Linked DNA regions of Lepisosteus oculatus. The protein of the gene in region 2 purifies or fractionates together with the protein of the main gene of each other region. This does not show direct contact. Links are inferred from orthologs where the notes say so. Each region holds a gene or a part of one and is shown on either strand. Other genes may lie near its edges.

Region 1 (7,537 bases), on a different chromosome or scaffold from region 2:
GGTACATTACATCTGACAAGACAGTTTGATACTGACAAACAAGATTTATTTGAACGGGGAACTTATTGTTATTCTTGGGATTATGGGGCACTGCGATCAACATGAGGGGATTCGTAATTTCCTTCCCATTGTAAATGTAAGGAACGGGTAAGGGTTCATTGCGTGCTGAAAGGTAAAGAAAAGATACACAATGTTTCTGGCTGTGGAACCTTTTTCAGGTGACACATTGAAGGCAAATTGAAAGCACTTTGAAGCGAAAACACCGGTTCGTATTCCAACCACTAGGGGGAGCTATATTACTTTGAACGTTTTGCTATGGTGTGACTGTTTTCCTTACACTTATTTAGCGCTTTACAGGTAATGGGGACTCCCCCGACCACTACCATGATGCAACAGCAGCCAAAGTGCGCCAGAGTAATGAAGCCAATTCATTTAGCTATATACCTGCGTAAGATCTCATACTGTATCGGTTAACCAACATAAAAATTGCTCCATAATATTATTTAGGGATGAATTAAAGTGGTTTACACTTCTACCTTTTTTACAGTTTTAATTGTGAACAGAACTTGCAGGCTGGTTTAAAAACACGGTTATGCATACTGCAAAACACAGAATCAGACCAGGAAAAAAACACTTCCATTCGGTTTCTCCGCCAAGGCAAAGGAACCAAAATCACGTACTCGTGTGATCAGGGTTAGGGTTACACACTCCAGAAACCAAAGCAGCCTGCATCGCGGTTGCTCAATTCAACTTGCTGAACCGCCTTGTCAGGTCGGGCTGACCTGTGTACCGGCGGCAACTTTCATGTGAGATTATGGCAAGGCCTCCTCCTTACTCGCTCTCTCGCCTACATCGTTCACCTGTGTTCCCCCAGAACATAATTCCTGAAATGGCTGTGACTGGATGACTACCTCGCGTCAGATTTCGCAACACAACAGCACTGGTCTGGTCAGGTCGCCTCTACTTCTTGCATTACGCAATCCAAGCCAGGCGAGTCACGACGTGCAGGGCTAGGAGGCTAGGAGTCAGGTGCATGCATCAATAAAGCCACGCTGTTTTAAACGCGTGTTGTCAGTGCTCGGGTTGACTTCATATTGTAACGCTTACGGATATTTAGCGTTGCCATGGTTTGACAAGCCTGTCGAAAACACTAGCTACTGAAGATAACGTGACTGTGTTGGCGGATATTTTAGTGCACTTCACGTCGAGTCGATCCGATCCGCCAAGCCAGTGTCAGAAAGCGAAGGCAGCTGGAGATTTCAGCGCTGTCATTTGATTTGCAGGGAGAGTCTTTTCTCTCTCCCGCTATGATCGATCCGCTCTCACCCTCCCCGTTCATCTGTACCGTAATGGATCTTACCTTGGTACGGCTTGATCAGCGAATGCTCCCTTTTCAGGAACTCTTCCACCTCGTGTCCTTCGTCACCCCAGCACGGGCTTGCCGTGAGCAGGATGAAGACAACTGCGAACGGGATCTTTTTGATCATATTGTGAAAAGAAATGAAATAAAAAATTCCCTTGCGAGCCCCAGCTAGAACCTTCCCGTTCATGGCAGCGGCCATTTTGCTCCTCCCCCTCCCTCCATGACACGCCTTTCCCCACCTACCTCGCCTCTCAGTGGCTGGTAGGATGTGTTGTCATCAACTATTCGCTGCACTGAACTGCCATTCACGAGTCTAACTCTACCTGTGCCCCGCCCCCGATGAATAATGACAGTTCGTTGGAAGCGAAATATGATTGGTTCAGGGGCTAATACCCGCCCACTTGTGAGACTTTTGGGATTCTATTGGTAAAAGTTATTATCAATTAAAGAGACTCCAAACATCCCGCCCACTCCCGGAAGCAGTTGCCTTGGTAACTGATTCCGTTAGGAGGGTGAATAGTAAGATGTTGAAAATGTTTGTCTAATAGTGTAACGTTAAAAAACCAATCTGAACACTTAAAAAAGTTTTTCTTAGCCACAGGCCATATACCTTCTACTTGAGCGTTACTTGTTTCTTTCAAGTTTCAAAAAGACAAAATCACATTTCGTAGAAGTATGTCGGATAGCACAAGAAATCAAAACCGAGAATAGGAACGATTTTTTAATGAACTGTAGCTACATATGCTTAAAAGTTTTGCTATGTTTATGTTTTTATTATCTACCCGAAACGTATTATTAAATAACGAGGTTTCCTATGATACTTAAAGTGCATATAGTCGAACGGAATTATTTTCCAGAACCGCAAGCACAGCGGATGTGCTTTTGGATGTTTCTTCCTTACTGATCTCATCCTGGACTTTTGAGGTGGAAACCTTAAAACCTTAAAAGCAGTTTTCCAAGAAGCCCGGTACGCTCACCCGAGCAGGGACTGGTTTGTCGCGGGGCAGGACCTGGGTGTGACGCCTTGCTTCCTCTCAAAGAGCAGCAATTTCTTTTTCTGAAGACTAATATTTCGCTTGGAAGCCTGACGTTCATATTTAGCAAGGGATTTGATGGAACAATTGCAATGAAATTATTTAAGCTTCTACATTTTCATCTTATAATTAATAGTTTGATGTTTGATATTTGTTTTTTGAGAGCAAAGGGTCAAAGAATCCGCAGTCTGATGATTTTCCAAACTTTGCATATGAAAGGCCGTCGAAAGTGTGTTTTTAAAACGGTTTACGAAGCCAAAATTGTAACAGCGACTGAACTCAAGCAAGCCCGGGAATTCATTTCGAAATCTAATGCATCTTGAGGCTGACTCATGTGGCTCACGAATGTCTGAACGCAGACCTGAAACATAGGAGAATGAAATCATGTGCGCTAAATATGACATAGTGTTTATAACGCCCGATCACAGCCTAGCCACAAAGCCCTATTCAGACAGAAGACTCATTTCCTGGAAACCGCTAACTGAGAGGCTGTGGAGCGCTGAGCAGTTTTGAGCTCTGTCACATGGCATATACTGTAAGGCCGCAGTTAGGCTTTTTAGTTTTGTTTCCCGCCTCTGGCGTCGCCGACAGGGAACGTGATCTGTTCTCATCATTTTGCCCTTTACCTTATATTGGCTGTTGTTTCTTTCTCGGTCCTCCCCGTGCGCTCTTTCACTCACAATACAGCCAATAACACGCTTCTCCAAAACCTTCCCACTACAATTTAACGCTTATTCATAATCCCAAAAAATCCTACAACCCTGTACTTGTGCTCTTCTATTGTTTGCTATAATTATAGTTTACGAGTAATCTTTGCTTTGCTCTGATAGTGTTTGTATAAGTTGTTTGTTACTCTAGTATTCTATTTTATTGGCCTTTATCGGTCATTTATGCACATATATCAATCTACAAATCCCCTTTGATATCGAGGTGGCATCGGCAGGAAAACACTATGTTAACGATTTATGATAGTCCTCAGTATTTTAACTATATTATGTTAAGAGGATTTTTTTGCGGGCTTAGTCAATTCCAATCAAAACTTCCACATTCGCATGTACAGCAGGTGGGATTAAGAGGTTCTCCTAATCTACTTGGAAAAGTCATGATAAGTGCTAAAATAATTGTGTCGGGAATAATTCTGTGTACTGAGAATTATTCTGAGCTGTTCAATAAAAAAGCATTTTTGTTCAGTTTACAGTCCATTTCATCACAACGTTTGTTTTAAGAATGAATTAAAGAGTTTTTATTTTTTAGCTCTTGAGAGATTGACGGTATTCATTATAATTATTGTAATAAAGTAAATAAACGCATGATTTCATCCTCATTTGTAGTAAAAATGTTTGGATTACAAGTCATTCTTCCGGTACCCCCACCCCCACAGCACCCTTCATTTAGCTTTGCTGGATTTCATTCTTTAAAAGTGTGGAGGCTGAGGCTGCGTGATGTCATTATCACCCAATCAGGGGCCACCCGGACATGATGATGTAATGTTTACCAGCAAGTTCAGTAGCACTGCGGTTCAATCGGATATAATCACTGAAAAAAAAAGTTAAAACGCCTTTTTTATTTTTATGAGGATATTATTTTAACATCACTGTCAAAATGGTGAACCTCATTAAGATTCGATGTTCTGTAGCTAATATATAAACTATATATGGAGTGCATACTTATTCCGTCTGAAGTAGTAAACGATATATTTGTATTTTATAATTACAGTGAAAAAAATAGTATAATTTCCTAAATTTCTTATTATTAATTAAAAGACTCTTACTCTTACTGGAACACTTGAAAAGTTGAATTGCTAAATATCACATATACGTCAGTTATGCCATCGGTATGTGCATCTATGTCAGTTAAAACAGTCTTAAAGGATAGTTAAAGGAATTGCTTTCAGGATATACTATGAACAATAACGACTCCAATTAAATAAAAATATTTCCTTCCATCTTAACAAGTGCACTGCTCTTCCTTAAAAAGAAAGTGATGATTTAGAAGGCGGCCCTAACGTCATATGTGGGCGGTATAGAAGGCGGGGTTAGGATAATGAAGAGGCGGGTTTTAAGAAATGAGTAGGTGACGTCAGCTCCCAGCTTGCGGAGAGTGAAACAAACATGGCGACAGACTGGAGTGGGCAGGGGTATATTCTAACTTTGATCGTTTTTCTATGGAGCTCAACAGCTGGACGAATGGAGGCAGCAACCGCAGAGGTCAGTAACAGCCAGATCTTGGGCATGCGGCTGGTGTGGAGCAACAAGTCGGCCACGACCACCAACGAGGGAATCATCCAGGTAACAGAGGGCAGTGAGGTCCAGCTCAGGTTTTACGGGCTGCAGCTAAACTCGGGCACCTGGTCACAGATCAGGTTTACGGAACACGGAGACGGAGTGGGAGAGGGCGAAAACAATGCCTTTAGCCACTCTTTTAACAGGACTTGCGCCGATTTCACCAAAGACATCGCGATCAATAATTTCATGAACGTCAGCAGCCAGGGCACCTCCGGGGTGCTCAAATTAGCCATCAAGACGCTCCGCAAGAGCGAAGAGTCCAAGGAGTACAGCTTGTGCGTGAAACGCAGCCCGGAAGGCGAGTGGGACCTGTTCGGGGAGAACGATGGCAAGCTGAAGGTGGTGGAGGAGAAGTCGTCGCTGCTCCCGCTCTGGCTGCAGATCATATTGATCGCCCTGCTGCTGTTACTGTCCGGCATGTTCAGCGGACTGAACCTGGGGCTGATGGCTTTAGATCCCATGGAGCTCCGCATCGTGCAGAGCTGCGGTACGGAAAAGGAGAAGAAGTACGCCCGCAAGATCGAGCCCATCCGCAGGAAGGGCAACTACCTTCTGTGCTCGCTCCTGCTGGGCAACGTGCTCGTCAACACGACCTTGACCATCCTGCTGGACGACCTGATTGGATCTGGCCTGGCTGCGGTGGTGGCCTCCACCATCGGCATCGTCATCTTCGGGGAGATCATGCCCCAGGCGCTGTGCTCTCGCCACGGCCTGGCCGTGGGGGCCAACACCATCGTGCTGACCAAGTTCTTCATGCTGCTCACCTTGCCCATGTCCTACCCCATCAGCAAGCTGCTGGACTGCGTGCTGGGCCAGGAGATCGGCACCGTCTACAACCGGGAGAAGCTGGTGGGGATGCTCAAGGTGACGGAGCCCTACAACGACCTGGTGAAAGAGGAGCTCAACATGATCCAGGGGGCGCTGGAGCTGCGGACCAAAACCGTGGAGGACGTCATGACCCCCCTGAGCAACTGCTTCATGATCCACAGCGACGCCGTGCTGGACTTCAACACCATGTCCGAGATCATGGAGAGCGGCTACACCCGCATCCCGGTGTTCGAGGACGAGCGCTCCAACATCGTGGACATCCTGTACGTCAAGGACCTGGCCTTCGTGGACCCAGACGACTGCACCACGCTGAAGACCATCACCAAGTTCTACAACCACCCGGTCCACTTCGTCTTCCACGACACCAAGCTGGACGCCATGCTGGAGGAGTTCAAGAAAGGTAGGGCCCGTCGTCATAGCAACAGAAGCTTGTCGAGCGCATGGGACTGGCGCGGTGTCAAAGAAGAGCACTGGAGAGCTTCTGCTGCTGAAAAGCCTAAGGCTGGAAGCCGCAGTGTGTTTTGCAGTTCCAGACTGGTCTCATTTGTCAGTCTGGTTTGCCCACCTCTTTTTCATGTTGTTGTAAAGATGGCGTTCATTAAAAGGTATGAACAGCGCCTCTGTCTTTTTTAAATTAGCACTGTGGGGAAAAAGAGGGTATAAGGTTTGTTAGCCTTGGTTTTCTCCTCCCAGGAGTCATTGACACCTCTCTTCTGGTATATAATGATGTGCAGGGCTCCATACTCAGGATTTACTGTTGCTCTTTGTGCGTTCATGACCTCACAAATCTAAAACGTCCTCAGAAGTGATGAATATAGTTTCATGCTTTCGAGTTTAAACATTTGTGTTTTTAGGTCTGTGTGTCCGACCGGCTCTGCAGGCATCCTGTGTTGGGTTGTTTCACGAAGCAAAATGATCTGTGCGTTCTCATTTCTAATCCCTCCTCCGCCCGCTTACCACTTGTATTTCTGACAGGACAAACACTCGGGGCTGACGGATTGAGAAATCATTTCAGGCTCGAGTGTTATTGTGTGAGTGAAGAGTTGTGCAGCTAAGTTAGACCATCCAAGTTGTCCTTACAGGATACGTCCCTCTTTGTGTCTGTCCATGTATCTGATCTTGTCTGCCAGCCTCTGCAAATATCTGTATGCCTGGCTCTCTGCCCTTCTTACATCAGTGGTGTTGGGGAGACTGCTGTGGCTGTTGCTCTGCGAAGGCGTGTGTGGTTGCACGGCTGAAGTTACAGGCTGCCTCTGTGCTGTGTGTCTCCCGCGGACGTGCCGGTGTCCCCTCGCTCACCCTGTGCACTGAAACCTTTGGAGAGGAGACAGGTTTGCAGATTATGCAGCAGTGTGGTACAGCAATTCCAATGCTTTGTCGGGAGGCCGCCATCAGGCCCTTAAAGAGGCAGCACCAGTAAGGACACACCAGGGCGCCTCTGACTAGGCGTCTGCTGGAGTGTTTTTCCATTCAGGCTGCTGAGGGGCTGGGATGTTGGTGAACATTTCTCCATGTGTCGTTTTGATGCTTTGTGTTTTCACAACCGCCTATGTTCCCAGCTCCCTGTGGGGCTTCTTTTAAACAAACATTTACTGTTTAGCAAAGAATTTCAAGACAGAAATGTGCATGTGAGAATTGGAGAGAGAGTTAATTGCCATATTCCTTCAAGGCTAACAAAAAGAAAAAGCTCTCAAGGGGAATGAAACCCATGCTTTGTTTCAGGGCTTAACAGCTACAGTTCTGCCTCTCCTCTTCCTGCTGTGGTATCCAAACTCCTTTTTTTTGCACCATCTGTCCTGTCCGAAGTGACATGAAGGCTGGGGTGTGCAGACTCACTGAGGGTCTGATGATCCCCTGATCCCCTGATGAACCGAGCTCGTTATTTACTCAGCAAGACTCTTTCATCTCTAGTGCTTCACCCAGGTTTTAAACTGCTCCCAGTTTTAAGGTTATAAAGCTGACAGAGCTGTAGCCTTTGAGGTTAGGAGTTTCAGTGTGTCCGGTGTTGTCTGTTGTGCAGTTTAAAG
Region 2 (7,859 bases):
AGACATGAAAGTAAACTGCAGATCCCCGTGAATTGAATTAAGAAACTTTACAGAGTGCATTATAAACCCACCACATGAATAGAGGATCTGCTACCAAGTCACAATCTTGTCATTTCAGGTCAAACAATTTAAGAATGAAGAACGTCAGAACCTTACATGTCCTTTTTTCTTTCCTGTTGATATACCTAATTTTTAAGCATTTGTGACCACTTGAACTTGCAGTTATAAGCCTTATATCTGCCCTCATTCTGTTTCCATATCCTTCCCTGACCCTCATTTCCCCCTATTTTCCCATGATCATGCAGCCATTTCTTGAAAGATCCCAGCTCATCTGCTCTAACAACAAGGCTGGGCAGTTTGCATGACATACCTATCCCATAAGACACAGACATTTACAATACCTTGTGAACCTTAAAACTGCCTGTGATGTGAACTGGAACATAAATGATTTTTGGAGTACTACATAAAATATTTTAAGGATTCCTAAACACAGGAAAATGATTCAGATTTTGATTTAAAAAAATGTTGCAGCAGAAACCACAAGACACGATTCTTCATTGGTAAAGATTATAAATAGTATTAACATTTACGGCCTCACAATGCGGATGGGCGGTATTGGTGAACCCTCCTGCTTATTTCCGAGGCCACTTCAAAAAAGCGACAGAGGAATGGAAAGAAGTGAGTGTGTTAAAGGAAACTGAAAATACTGTAGTTAGCAAAACTATGAGAAGCAATACAGATATGTATTTGTGGATATATTTAAAGAATCATATATTATATTCTGTATATTATAGAAAATGATAATGTAAAGGATTATACTAACGATTCTATGTATATTTTTTTGAGAGGATGTTTGAGGTCTTGACGTCTAGGAGCGCTGTTTGAAGACTTGGGTTCGTGACAAGCTTAAGAAAGTGATTCAAACGAATCACAATATATGCAGAATTATGTACCTACATCACTTTAACAGCAGACTATCCCTTGTTAAGAAAGCTTTCTCATAACATGCTATCTCCAAATCTCATTCCAATAAGCCCAGGGGGGAAAAAAATGATATTTTCCGATTGTTGTCCCTATGATAGATAGAACTGTGTGATTACATCCCATTACGGAGGAGAGCTCTAACACCCACCAGTGAATCTGGCAATGGCAGGACTAATTGGATATACTGTTTGCATAAGTTCATCCTGCCCTAGCCACTGAGCGCAGCGGCAATGTCGGGGCTCTGGAGAGGAACGGAGAGGCGTGTGACGCAGAGTCCGGAGCTGCGCTGTCTTCGGCGGGGGTGGGGTGGAGACAAGAGGCGAGATCACTGCCTGCCCAGCACTGACAGCAGCGGAGCAGACGCCGACGCAGTCAGAGACGGTAGCTGTATGGTACAAAACCATTATACCCTTTTCTCTTCTTCCTAGGGACCGGCTTTATGATTAAGCTACAATCTTCAATGAGTAAGCATATCCCTGTAAGTATCCCTCTTTTTTTAATAAAAGATATCTTGTTTTTTTTTCTAGTCCTTATCCTACACTGTGATACAATTTGGCTACATTGTGGCCTCTTTTCTAACTTGCCATTATTCGCCAGCGTGTCTTTCTTAGGGGGAGGGTAAATTCTGTCGGTTACATGTCACACGTTTTTTATGATTTACTTATCGCTGTCAATGTATGAGTGCGTGGTTGCGAATTTAATACTGGTTTCTTGCGCTGGTTGTTAAATGAATGCCGGCGCGGATCGTGAAGGCACGCCTGGGCAAGACCGCCTACTGCATGCCTGGGAACGGGTTCCTAGGGCAATTTCTCATGGTAAACAGTTTAATTTAGCAAATGCTTCAGTAACTGTGTTGCATATGTCGTATGCAACATATGCTGGGTGCTGTTTATTATGCTCATGACGATTTATAAAGACGATTCCGTTTTCAAGACGCATCTTAATCGGAGTCCAGTGATTAGGCCTCAAACGACAGAGGCAGAAATTACAGGCTACACAAAGAGCTGCATTCGCCCGCTCCCTCCCGATGTGTCGGGTTTATGTTAGACCTAAGTGCTTCTATTCTGTACATATCTGGTTTAACCTCACAAAACACGTTTTTATTTTTTTCTGATTCCAAACATGAGAAAATAGCCATTTTCTCCCTTTTACAGCAGGTATGGGGTGGTATACCCGCCCGGTGCAATCGGTTCATTGATTCCCCCCTCTTTTCTCACCCTCGTGTATTTTGTGTGTGTGTGGGGGGGGTTGGGTTAAAAAAAAACATAATCGGCGTGTACAAGTAACATCAGGAAAATAAAACTGAGACATAGAACACTAAGGGAAACAAATCGCGTTCGGGAACATGGTGGCGGACCTGCGCGGCTCCCGACTGGAAGCCTGTTTAATCCAGTTCGGTCTCAGAAGTAGGGCACGGGTTTGCCCTGGATCTCCCGGTTTATCATCGGCGCCGGTGCCCGGTACCGCGGGGGCCAGCAGCCTCTCTCTGTATGTAGGCATTTGAGCCGCGGCGGACGCCTTGAATTTGCCCCGAGAAGGAAATTATTACCACAGTGGGATATGCTACACAGTAGCTAAATTGTACATCAAGTGATGCTTCGGGATACGTTGCGCTACAGCGAGGAGGCGGAGCGGGGGGATTCAAGCAGGAACCTGCTCACAAAATGGCCTTACAGGAACGTGGTCGAAACTGCTAGTGCTGTAAATAATTAGGGCTCCCCTCTGATTTAAGCTTCCTGTTAGTAGCTTATAGGAAAGGGAATGTCGAGTTTTCCGTGGAGGGAAATTTCCGCCAATTCTAAACATTTTATTAGCATTGGATTGTCAAAGTAACACTTGTTTCCACGATAAGGGTGTAGATTTTAAAAAAATACGTTTAGCTTTATCAAATATTAAATATTTAAAGTCGTGGCTTTAAATAAGGAACGCACGGTTAAAAAAATCCTGAAGCGACCCTTTCCGTTTTTACGACTATAACTAACCGGTGCTAGCAGGGAGAGAGAGAGAAAGCAGCTCTTGCGCTGAAATCCGTTGCTCCCTGAGCGGGCGGCCTGGTCCAGTGAAGTGCGCAGCGTCACTTGTGCCACTACAGGTGGACGCCATGAAGTCATCTTGACTCTTAAACCATTTTTTCTTTCATCTGCCAACAGATGTAATCACATGATATTAAGAGTCGCTGCTCAAGGCCTGATTCATATAAAAATGAGCCTTATGTCGAGTGTAGAAAAATGTTTTGCCGTCTCATGACTATGACTCATTGATGCTCATCTGATAGATTCGTTGTGTGAAGTCCCTTTTGATTTGAATGCAGAAGTCTTACCTGCAACCTGTTTCCCCTGAATTAGCTGGACAAAAGTGTTATTCACAGCACAGAGGTGGCTGGCTGATACTTCAAACCTTGCCCATAACTAATATAACTTTTTTTTTTAATGGTGTGCATAGATAATTATTTTTTCTTTCCCAACAGCGTAGGTTAATTTTAAATGTAGCATGGTAGTGTTTTGAGGAAGTGCAGGTGGAGAAAGTGTGACCGGGAAGCATGGCCCAGATGTAACAAGGCAGATGTCTCTCTCAAAGGTTTTTACATAGTGCTCCTCTCTCGGGCTAGGTGCTCGTTCTCTTAGATGTTTTTTCTTTTACAAGTGACGTAGTAATTATCAGTCCTAGAAATATGTACAGCCACATTTCAGATCTTGCACATCAGTTGTTGAAGCGTGGGGCACTATAGTCTGAAACTGTTCCATGTGTTTCGGGAGTATTCACAGGGACTCCTCAATGTGATGCACAGCCAGGAGGTTAAGTGCTCACGAGAATTGTATTAACAGTCCAGCTAATCACTGGCATATTCTGGTCTCTGATTCTGTGGTGCCTTTGCAATAAGTATTGCTAAGCAGTGACTGAAAGAGGTTAGGACTTTAACAGAGGTTTTTAAAGTAGATATGACTTAATGGTTGATACTTGGTTTGTAATGGTAAAGATCCTGTACACTTTACAAATTCTTTTGCTGAAATACAAATGACTTTGTGCAAAATGGTAAAAACAAGTTATTTTAAGGTAAAATATGCACATACTATTCTTGTTACAATTCCATTTTATGTCTGAAACCAAAAAGATTTTTTTAGACAATCATGGCTGAAGAACACATGCTTTACTTCCACGCTTCCCCATCATCCTGAATAGATCTTAATTTGTTTAGATATTTAAGTATTTATCTTCATTTTCTTCCATCTTATTCACCTGTTGGAGGTTAGCCGTACTTCAGTTTGCGTACTTGCAGAAAATGCCAAATGGTCTATAAAATAGTGCATATGAATCATGGTTGTGTGATTCAAGTACTTTTTAAGTGTTCATTTTGTTGAAGGTTTATTACTATGCAACTGGGACATTTAATGACGCAGCACATTGAGAAAAGCACAATAAAGCAAAGCTGAAGACTTGGCTTTTATAGCCACAGGTGTAGATTATGATTTGTTACTTGCAATTCAGCACAGTTTTCTGCCTTCAAAAATGTTTTAAAAAACAACAATCAAAGGAGTTCCAGCTTTTTGATTTGTATTTGCAACAGTTCAGTCAGGATAAATGTCACATTCAACATATCATCTTTAGAAAGTGTTTAGCAGTGGGGTCGGCCAGGGTTCCTGTGAACACGTGTTAACGCTTGTTCTGGTGGTTTCTCTTGCAGCAGTTCTGTGGTGTTCTTGGTCACACATTTATGGAGTTTCTGAAGGGCAGTGGAGACTACTGCCAGGCACAGCACGGAGTCTATGCAGACAAGTGAACTCTAGAAATTCATTACTACTCCACACAGAAACCCCCTTAGGAGCTGAGGCGGCGCTGATAACCTGGATAAGAAGCATTGAATAGTCCCGGCAGAGCACTTGTCTTCACAGAGGAGCTCGAACCTGGATGGGGTAACCTTTGGTGCACTGCCTTCTTTGTTGGCTTCAGTATTACTGGAATCAAGAAGATCTGCTGCTTTTTATTTAGTGATCCATTACCAGCCACCTACCCCCAGCTTATTTTCCTAGACCTCATCTTTGCAGAGGAGAGAATTTCCAGTGGAGTACAGTGAAAGAAAAAAAAGTCTTTTTTCCCATATATCCACGTCAATTTGTATTGGATATTTTTAAGCATTTTTTGTTATTATTGTTGTTCTTTATTAAATTTGTACAAAACCTTTTTTAACAATGGCCCGAATGAATCGCCCTGCCCCTGTGGAAATCAAGTACAAGAACATGAGATTCCTCATCACCCACAACCCCACTAATGCCACTCTGAACAAGTTTATAGAGGTGAGTTCCGCACACCATCAGAAAAATATCTGTGACACCCATGATTTATAGAAAGAAGAACTGTAGCTTTACTCTCCATAATATAAACCAGTGATCCTTTTTCCCATGTATAGATTGAATCCAGTTTTTTTAATGACGTTTATAACACAATTTTGGGAGGGATTATAGCAGCCAATTTCCATCAGCCTTGGCTGTCAGTAATTTGTAATAATTTCCTGACAGTATTGCCTCACCTAAAACATTATAAACACTATGCTTAATCCCCTTCTCCCTTAAATATATTACATTAAATAGATATGATACAATTTTTTACGTTGAATACAGGGGCTTGCTGGAATGTTTGTAATCTGTAGCTCCTCAGTACTTGGTCGTTAAAGATTCCATGGCACTTTTCATAAAAACCTAGCGGTTAAATTCCACTCTTTTTTCCAACATTTTCTTAAAGTTCCCCCTTAATTCGGCTGGTAAAGCAGTTTCTCCTTTCTCCACCTGATCTGTTGTTTGCCTAGTGTCACATAGTGTGTCCTTAAAGTCACCTCTGCTTTAGTACCAGATGAAGTAGGTTCCACTTCTATATGGTATTAAAAATTAGTTTTGACTTGAATGCGATTTTGACTTGTTGCTTTGTTTTAAAGGAACTGAAAAAGTATGGTGTTACCACGGTGGTGAGAGTTTGTGAAGCTACCTATGATACATCTCTGGTGGAAAAGGAAGGCATTCAGGTTTTGGTAAGTGCTGAGCAGGTTCATTTATTGGGAATATCCGGTTCCATTTTCCCACTTGGAATCCATGAGTTCAGGTGAAAAAGATTAGTGGTGGGTCTGAATTAGACCAATGCAACAATTAATCCATTTGTGCTTTATTTCATTTGGTAAAATGAATGGAAACTTCAGAGTGGTGACGAATGTTGGGAGAGGGATAGTTGGTTTGTTAGATTAGACTTGACATTTTCTTTTTCCTCAACACTGCCACGTTTCTATGCAAAAACTATATAATCAAGTTCAAGGTAACTGCAACAGCTGCTTTTAAAATCAATTATTTTGGTTCTCTGTATTTTGTTCTGTTTCAATAATCCTGTTAGAATAACTTTATATTCAGATAAAATGTATCTGAGCATTAAGGTTCAGCTTTGGCTGAAATTCTAGCCTGTTCTCATCAGACATTGGAAGCTAAGCCAAGCTGAACCTGGTCAGTACTGGCTGAGAAACTAAGGAAAATCAAGTTGGTCTTGAAGTGGTGTTGGTGGAAAATCAGAGGTGCTCTTCTTTCCTCACCGAAAAGTGGTGACCAGGAACACGTTAGGAGAGCTGAAGGAGGCGCCATCTTCTGATGAGGTGTTAAGCCAAGGTTTCTTTTTACTCTGTCATTTAAAGATCCCATGACATTCCATGGCCCGGTTGTTGAACTCATTTACCTGTGTGCAGGTGGGGCTCTAGAATTGTGGGTTCAAGCCTGTGGGTGATGTCACTAGCTGACTGCCAGGGGGAGTTTCTTAACAGCGCACTGTGGTGCACAATCGACTGAGTGCTGTCAAGGTTATGGCAGGATTAGTTGACCGGGGTGCGATCACTGCCATCACTGATCTCTGCAGCCTTGTACTTGCTAAAATTTTCTCAGTCTAGCCTAGTTTACCTCAGTTGTTGAAAGTTGTTGCCTCACTTCTTTGCCTAATCTGCTGTGTGGTGGGACTGTTGGCCCATAAGGGCTGCTCTGTGACAACCAGGTCGGAACTGTACTTCAGAGGTCGATGGAACATGTCCCTCATGGATGAGAAGCACTTTAGAATCCTTAGGGGTGAAAAGCACTTTATAAATGTGAGGAATTGGTAGAATTTCATGCTTTTCTGCTCTGAATGTTTTCTACAGGATTGGCCATTTGATGATGGAGCCCCACCTTCCAACCAGATTGTCGATGACTGGCTGAACCTCCTGAGGGCTAAATTCCGTGAGGAGCCTGGCTGTTGCATTGCTGTCCATTGTGTAGCAGGACTTGGCAGGTGTGTTTTGTCTTCATTGTGTTGCTCTTTGAAGAGCAGCCAATATGAAGTAACATTTATTTTGTTACTAATCTTCCATCCACTCTTTTAACATCTCAATTGGCAAAACAAATGACCTGTTCTAAGATGATTCTTCCTTTGGAAAGTTTATTGTAGCTATTGTTTTTATTGGTTCTAAAAAACGGTTTAGTTAATGATAGAGGTGTCATTTACATGTCTTTATTTTACAGAATTTTTTTATATGTTGGCAGCACATAATTTGAGAGTCAGGCTTAAAATCTTAAAAATATACAACACTTTGGTAAATGTTGTTGCATATGTTTGAAACAGTACATGACCCACTTTAATACTGAAGAAATATCAAGTCTTAGCCAATTTGAATTAAGGGGAGGAGTATGTACATTTAATCAATATATTGCAGGCATTTTGCATTATAATTTGGTCAATGAAATGACTTTTTTTTTAATTTCTGTCCAAAATTGCTTTCCAGAGCTCCAGTCCTGGTTGCCCTTGCTATGATTGAGTGTGGAATGAAGTATGAAGATGCAGTGCAGTTTATAAGGCAGTAAGTACCATTTTGAACTTAT
Region 3 (7,547 bases), on a different chromosome or scaffold from region 2:
CTACACTATGGCAGAGATGTGTGAGCAGCACACGGTTACGGATATTAAGATCAGCATGTTTTGAGACGTGGGTTTTGCTCTCCTATCCCGAGAGCGGAGCAGGTGGACTGGAGCGGGGGCTGATGTGACTGTACGTTTACTTTCTTTTAAAATCACAGTGGCAGGTGTCAGTAAAACACAATGAAGGGGTCAGTAGCGAAGACTTAATCCAGGGATAACGCGACTCTGGTTAACAGATGATTTCCTTTTTAACCTCGAAACTCCTTAGCGAATTGACCAATGTTTTTTTTTTATTTTAGTTAAAAAGTTTAAGTAGTACACGGGAAGTTCATGTTTAAATTGTAGGATTTAATTCAACAATAGTCTCTTTAGTCCTTTGTAATTAAAAAAAAAAACTAAGTGGGGTTACCCGAAATAAAAGGACACATTTGTAAAAGAAGTATTATAAATATTTCACACCGCGAAACAATCGTGCAAAAGGTCAGGCAAGCAAGTATTCAATAATAAGTGGTTAGGCAGTTCAACAGTTTGAGATTCGCATTATTTCAGATAAGTTTTAAAATACGTTCAGAATTTTTTATATATTTAGCTTTACACACAACAAACTATTAAAGGCATTGCTTGTTGGGTTTTATGAGCTCATCTTGCATTTAAGTAATTACAAAGATTCAACACAAAGAGTTTCAAATCTAAATCTATATTAATCTTCTTTGTATATAAACTTTGGAAGAACTTCATACGTCGGGTCCCTTTATTTCCTGATGAAATGGGGTTAAAGACTTATTTTAACTTATTAGGATCTAAAAAGAAAGCGACCGTGCTCCTGTCACACTGGAGTCCAGATGATCCTTAAATAGCCTGCAAAGACTTCAGCTACACTCTAAATGAATCATTCTCACTTAATAATTCTGGACTCCTTAACGCAAAATGTCTCACCTCATTCATTGTTACTCCTCTGCGCGCTGAGTTAGCCCAAATATTTTACTGTCAGGTTAAGGCTAAAAATACAACCAGTTACCGCATTGAAATTTGCTGTTAGTTTCAACAGTGGGTTCAGATTAAAAACAGCCTTTTCAGATAGGATACCCGAGCCAGAAAGAAAGTCTTGGAACCCCTGACTCGGAGTGAAGAGGAATAGGAGATACCGAGACAAAATGCAAAAACATGCATACTAAGCCACAGACATCACCAATTATCATCACCCTATTATTACGAGCGGTAACAAAAATGTTATAACTGCAGCAGCAGTAGCGCTCTTGTGGTAGACTACACTAAAAAACTTCTGAGAATAATACAGTCTGGTTTTCAAGCCGAGACGACTCAATATTGTGGTAAAGTCAGCACACAACAACACAAAGCCGTGTTTTTCTAGTCCCCCATCTTTTAAAAAAAAACCGCTAATATTTTGTTGGTGTTTCTTAACACAAAAGCGGACAAGTCTTTTTTGAGAAACGCGAGAGAAACTTGTGCGGTTTTCGTTTGAATATTTGAACAGGTGTCTTGTGAAATATCCAGCTTTTTAAAATAAAACAACAACCAAAGAAGCAAGAACACATTGCAAAAGGAAAATCAGTCAAGTGAACGTTGTACTGTACGTATCTACAGACTCGTATATTGAATGAAAAAAAAATATTTTGGAGAAGATGTTTGTAAGGATAATCTATGGAAATTCGTCAGGCTAGGGTAAAGTGTGCGGTACGGGTTGTTTTTTGCGTGACACCGGAGGCGAATCCTAAAACCATTAGGCTACAACCATAATAATGAATGATCTTTTGAAGCCAGATTTTGCTTCTGAGAGCACATTTTTGGAAATGTTAATCCATAAATGGTTAGCAGATTTCTTCTTCCCAATCTTTGTTTTCAATGTGCAGTGGAAGGATTCCAGCGTTTCAGCACACATTTCAAAGGAACAGGGTTTATCCAAGCAGTGATGATGTGTGAAAACTGGAACGCAATCACAGATTCCGTGAGAAAAAAGAATTCTGGATTTACGGTGCACTGTCAGTGGCAAAATACAGACATGAATGGTAACCGCACTGCTCCAGCAAAGAAATTTCTGTGGGCCGCAACAACCTGCTTTTAATATGTATAATCAACGATCCTAGAGTAATAGACATCTTGAAACACCACATTACATGAATTAGGAAAACTACAAAAAGTGGAAAGTGCTACACAAACACAATTATTTATTGGCTATCACTGCACATTGCTAGAGCGCGTCTGCGTTAGCCCAACCAGCTGAGCGCTTACTGTATGTCACAGCAGTGCTGAACGATGAATTCATTTTGAACTCATTATCCGTTTCCTTCCAAGTCATTGGAAAAAAAACAGACAGTCCGTAAACAATAAAGGAAATCATAAGAAACACGTTATTCTTACCTCATGAGATCGTGAAGTCAGGTAAACGCCCGGCCATTCGAACTGCTACCGTATCTCTCAAGTCTCTCTGCCTGTGCAAAACGTGTTCAGTTTTACCTTACAAAATCAAGCATGCCTTATTTATGTAACATGAATGATTGTTAAATATTTGTGCCCTGGAGCCAGAAAGGACTTACATATAGCATTTCAGAAGGGGTCTTTTATAAAAACGCTAAATGTATTTTAGTAGTTCCGATGGGTAGCTGCGTCAGCATGCGTAGGCTGCAAAGGAACAAGTAATAGGTTTATTCCATGCTGAAAAAAAGAAGAAAGAAAACACAACGTTTCGGCCGTGGAGCCTTCTTCAGGTGTGGTAAATGTATTTCAGGGCTTGACAGAACTGTGTGGTTTGTTGTGGTTCTGTTAATGAGCAACGTGAACTACGTGCTGAGTGGAAATAAACGTCTGCTTCCTCTGCCTCCGAATTTCTTTATTTCGGGGTGGGGGGGGACATTTAAATATTTCACGATTAGACTGGCACTCCTGGTGCGCGGTACTTGAATCCTAAACTAGCTCACGCTTTTCACAGCCAAGACAGTGCAAAGGGTGCCACCTCGTGGTGTATTTCTATATAACTGGCCAGAGTTTCTTTATTTTTCCATCTATCACTGCCCCATCACAGAGATTTTGCAAATCATGCACATCATCTTCACGTTTATGAAGTACCTGACTGTTATAATGAAGGGAGGTATAATTGTAAATATTCTGCAACTTCTGTGTGTCACCAAAACGGTGCAGGTGGAAACATATTTTAAGTTTATGATATTGTTTATTCTACGCGATTTGAAAAACGCGACCGAACCCAATTGTTTCGTGTCTGACGCACACTACCGGACGGGCCTGAAATAAGCGGGGTGTTTTCTTAGACTTTTATTCATCCAGCCCTTCATATTTCTTTTCCAGCGCGGCTGTGGAGAAGCGCAAACAAATTATTTGAAGCGCACAGAAAGGACGAAGTGTCAAGTTTTTTATTGTGTACTTCTGGATAAGCTCCAAAATACAAAATATATTTTAAAAGACTCATGACTTGTAAATTTGCAAACAAAAATGCGGTGATGTGAAGGCCAATGTTTGGATTTAGCAAATCGAAGCATGCACTTCATCAAGTGACCTAAACTGGGATTTTTAATCGCTCCTTCAGGGTTAATTTCCTCGGTGGCGAGTCCCCACAACCTTTTCTGCCGAGCGACCCATCAGCATCTGTGGCTTATGTTGTTACTGTATTCTCTGTTACAAGAACTTAACGATAAAAAAATGACACCGTCACCATCTCTCAAGGTCATCTAGGACATTCTGGAATGTCATGATAATGCCGTTTTGCAGGACCAAAAAACACACTTTTAACGTCTTCAATGGTACAAACAACCTTACAGTGGCAAATATAACAATTTTTGCTAAGAGATTGCAACAGGAACAACGGCGGTTTTATAGGACATTCGCCTAGTTTTCGAAAGCTATAAGAAAGTATTATGTTAGAATAACATTTTCATTGTACACGCAACAGAACCTTAAAAGACACATACCAAACATAACCTGTCTATATTTATCAATTAAGTGTTTAACTTTAAATTTGAATGCGTCGTTTAATATGAAATGCAACCCTAAATTCAGATACTAGTGCTTTATCGGGAGAAACAGATCGCTGTGACAGGTTACATTGGGGACTGCAGGGAATTAATCGGAAATTCGGCGAATCTGCCCTTTCTTTTCCATTTTTAGCATGAGATTAACCTCTTCTTGCTCATTTGCAGCTCGGAAGGTGACGCTGGTCCCAGCGCTTGTATTGTTTTATGCACAGAAATGATGACACGCTGAAATAATGAATCTATTCCACGCGTTTTTGTTTTTAAACAAAATCAGCGGTGATTCGTGGTTAGTTGACAGCTGTCTGATTTTGGATGTTAAATAGCATGGAGCAGAACAGCGTTATTGGAAAAACGTTTGCTCTCACACGAACCGTGAGCTTCCACGGATTTCCAGAACCTGGCAGCTTTTGGTGCCCCGCTTCTCTGATTACAGTATGTGCTGTAACCTCGCTTCTTGCGAAATGACATTACGTCACTGCAGCGCGTTATTCTTAAAGAGGTCTACCCTCCATCGGTCACTTAGCCCCTCTGTATTTACACTGTACGCCAGCTGTTACCCTGATTTCAGTGATAAAGCGTGACATCGCCACGTGACTGCGCTCGCCAATGTCCTCATACAACACATTCAGCATCATGGCTGCGGATGCTGCGGCTGCTGGCGCTCCGACCTGCATCCTGCGACCCGGTTCCCTGCCTCTGCTCCTCATTTTTGCCATTTCTTTGCCCGCATCGGCCCTTGGGCTGCTCGGATTCAGGCCGGAGGACACAGGGGGAGAGCTGTCCGTAGAAGACGGGGTGCTGAAGGCGACTGAGGGAACACGGTTCAGACTGCGTGTGTACTATGCAGCATCCCAGCAGAGACTCAACAGAAGTGTCAGCGGCAGAGCTGGGGATGCGGCTACAGCGCCGTGGATCGCTTTCATTGAAGAGCCAAGTCCGGGCAGAGAGGGACAGGTGCACCCCAAACGGAACCTCTGTGTGGACAAGAATGCCAGGACAACCGATATTGAGCTCTTGGGCTCTTTCAAGTCCGCATCCAGCCAGAATTCAATCCTGGTGGAGCTTCTCGCCAAGGACCTGCGCAAAGGTGAGAAAATCAAATATTATTCCATGTGTGCCTTTGATGGGATCAAGTGGGAGCACTTCAGGACTAGAGATTTCTGGCTGGCAGTCGTAGAACGTTCTCCAGAGGCCGACGTCTGGCTGCAGGTCATCGTCTCGCTGTTACTCCTGGGTTTTTCTGCCGTCTTCAGCGGGCTTAACCTAAGTCTGCTGGCACTGGACCCAGTGGAGCTCCGGGTGATCCAGAACAGCGGTACCGACAAGGAGCAGAAGCATGCCAGGCGGATACAGTCCGTGCGAAAGCACGGCAACTACCTGTTGTGCACCTTGCTCTTGGGCAACGCCCTCATCAACGCCTCTCTGGCAGTCTGGATGAGCCACATATTCGGAGTGACATGGGTTTCCATTCTGGCCTGCACCGTCGGCATTTTCTTCGTCGGGGAGATCCTGCCTCACTCTGTCGCCTCCAGACACGGACTCGCCATCGCTTCCAAGACCATCTGGGTGACGCGGCTGCTGATGCTCATCTCTTTCCCCATCTCCTACCCCATCAGCAAGCTGCTGGACGCTGTCCTGCACCAGGAGATCAGCAGCTTTTACACCCGGGAGAAGCTGCTGGAGATGCTGCGGGTGACGGACCCCTACCACGATCTGGTGAAAGAGGAGCTGAACATCATCCAGGGGGCCCTGGAGCTGCGGACGAAGACCGTGGAAGACGTGCTGACCCCGCTGAACGACTGCTTCATGCTGGCCTCGGACGCCGTGCTGGATTTCAACACCATGTCAGAGGTCATGCAGAGCGGATACACCCGGATCCCGGTGTACGAGGACGAGCGGTCCAACATCGTGGATATTCTTTTTGTGAAAGACCTGGCTTTCGTGGACCCGGACGACTGCACCCCCTTGAAAACCATCACCCACTTTTACAACCACCCCCTGCACTGTGTGTTCAACGACACCAAGCTGGACGCCATGCTGGAAGAGTTCAAGAAAGGTAAGGCTTGCCTCCCACCCTCTCGCAACCCTGGCCCATGAAGGAGGTCATCTCTCTGAGTAAAGTTGATGCTGCTGACTGTAATATGTTCGATATTTCTGGCGCCTGAGGAATTTAAAACCTTGCTTACGCTGAGATGAAAAGACCTTTAACTGCTGCTGCTCCTGTTGAGCACTGTCTCCATCCTAGGCTTGGCTTCTCAGCATTCAGTGACAAAAAGCTGTTTTCGCCTTTAAGTTTGTAGAATATTTTCAGAAATGACTGTTGCTTTCAGCAGCACAGTGACACAGTGGTTAGCAATGCTGCCTCGCAGCAGTCCCTGGGTTCAATTCCTTGGTGCTGTCTGTCTGGAGTTCATACATTTTTCTCATGTTTGCATAGTTTTCCCCTGGTGCCCTGGTTTCCTCCCAAAGATTAAAGGCATGTTGGTAAGTTAATCAGCTTCTGGGCAAATGTTCCGGAATGTGAGTGTCTGGTTGTCTGTGTGTTTATCTGCCTTGCGATGGACTGGCGTCCCTTCCTGGATGTGCCCTACCTTGTGCCTGTTGCCTGCTGGGATAGGCTCTGGCTTCCCTGTGACACTGAATTTGAAGAATCGATTAGAAAATGGATGACTATTGTGCTATCAGTGGTTTCATTTAACATGGTTTATATTTACACAGTTTACACAACATATTTAGTTTTCAAAGAGATATCAGATACCCTACAGTGGTAAATGGATTTTAAGTTAGAGCCCAGTGTTTCACACAGTAGTGGTCAGAGCTTAATTACAGCTTAATTATAGAAATGTTACTGTATATCCAAAGAGGGAGTTGGCAGTAAGTTTACCTGGGGCAGATGATAATGTTTTTGTCTTATCAAAATGCTAGTGTGAAGCATTCTGTTCAATATTGTGATGTGATAAAGTGTAAATGTATTTATTGATTTGTTAATCTGGAGAACTGTGCTTATCTACAATGTGTGATGAATCCAGGCATGAAGAATATGTGATGGGGTGTAAAAGGTATGGTTTAAGTACTGAGCCCTGTACAGATTGGGAATGGTTTGAGGAAATGTGGACAAACATGTTTGTGCTCCTGGGTTGTATGACAGATGATAAGAGTGGAGGAAAATGCTTTCTTTCTACCATTATCTTTACAGTATTAGCGAGAATATATTTCATAAATCATATATAATAAAAGATATCCTGAAAAGCCAGTATATGAAACTATGAAAGTATGACTTGGAAAAGAAACATTTCTCTTTATATCGCCTTAATACACCAAAACCTATTCAATGCAATAAGTAATCTGTACATGTTGTAACATTAAAAGCTGATTAACATGCAATGTCACATGGCAGAGAACAAGGGAGTTGTTTCTAAGCAGAAAGTTAAAATGAAAAAACTTTTCCATGCAGCTCATAGCTCTTTACATTCAGAAGGAGCTTAGCAGAACTGTAGGCAGGGTCTTTGCGATCCGCAGAACTGCAAAGATAACTGTTCTCAA

Evidence for each region. Proteins that work in one complex are often made in the same cells at the same time.
Region 1: the proteins of ptp4a1 (region 2) and metal transporter CNNM4 purify together in Homo sapiens (affinity purification with mass spectrometry; 6 studies listed by BioGRID and IntAct, with this or other methods). This does not show direct contact. The link is inferred for Lepisosteus oculatus from reciprocal best matches to the Homo sapiens genes PTP4A1 and CNNM4.
Region 3: the proteins of ptp4a1 (region 2) and metal transporter CNNM1 purify together in Homo sapiens (affinity purification with mass spectrometry; 4 studies listed by BioGRID and IntAct, with this or other methods). This does not show direct contact. The link is inferred for Lepisosteus oculatus from reciprocal best matches to the Homo sapiens genes PTP4A1 and CNNM1.

What each region holds. Positions count from the first base shown.
Region 1 is NC_090697.1:69,731,602-69,739,138, forward strand, and holds the start of metal transporter CNNM4, read left to right. Parts: upstream 1-4,490; 5' UTR 4,491-4,508; coding exon 4,509-5,910; intron 5,911-7,537. Other genes in the region: lman2la (lectin, mannose-binding 2-like a), read right to left, coding at 1,361-1,562. UniProt on the Homo sapiens protein: Probable metal transporter. The interaction with the metal ion chaperone COX11 suggests that it may play a role in sensory neuron functions. May play a role in biomineralization and retinal function.
Region 2 is NC_090712.1:20,374,795-20,382,653, forward strand, and holds the start of ptp4a1 (protein tyrosine phosphatase type IVA 1), read left to right. Parts: upstream 1-4,761; 5' UTR 4,762-5,171; coding exon 5,172-5,276; intron 5,277-5,911; coding exon 5,912-6,004; intron 6,005-7,141; coding exon 7,142-7,272; intron 7,273-7,762; coding exon 7,763-7,837; intron 7,838-7,859. UniProt on the Homo sapiens protein: Protein tyrosine phosphatase which stimulates progression from G1 into S phase during mitosis. May play a role in the development and maintenance of differentiating epithelial tissues.
Region 3 is NC_090699.1:30,558,441-30,565,987, reverse strand, and holds the start of metal transporter CNNM1, read left to right. Parts: upstream 1-4,500; 5' UTR 4,501-4,610; coding exon 4,611-6,060; intron 6,061-7,547. UniProt on the Homo sapiens protein: Probable metal transporter.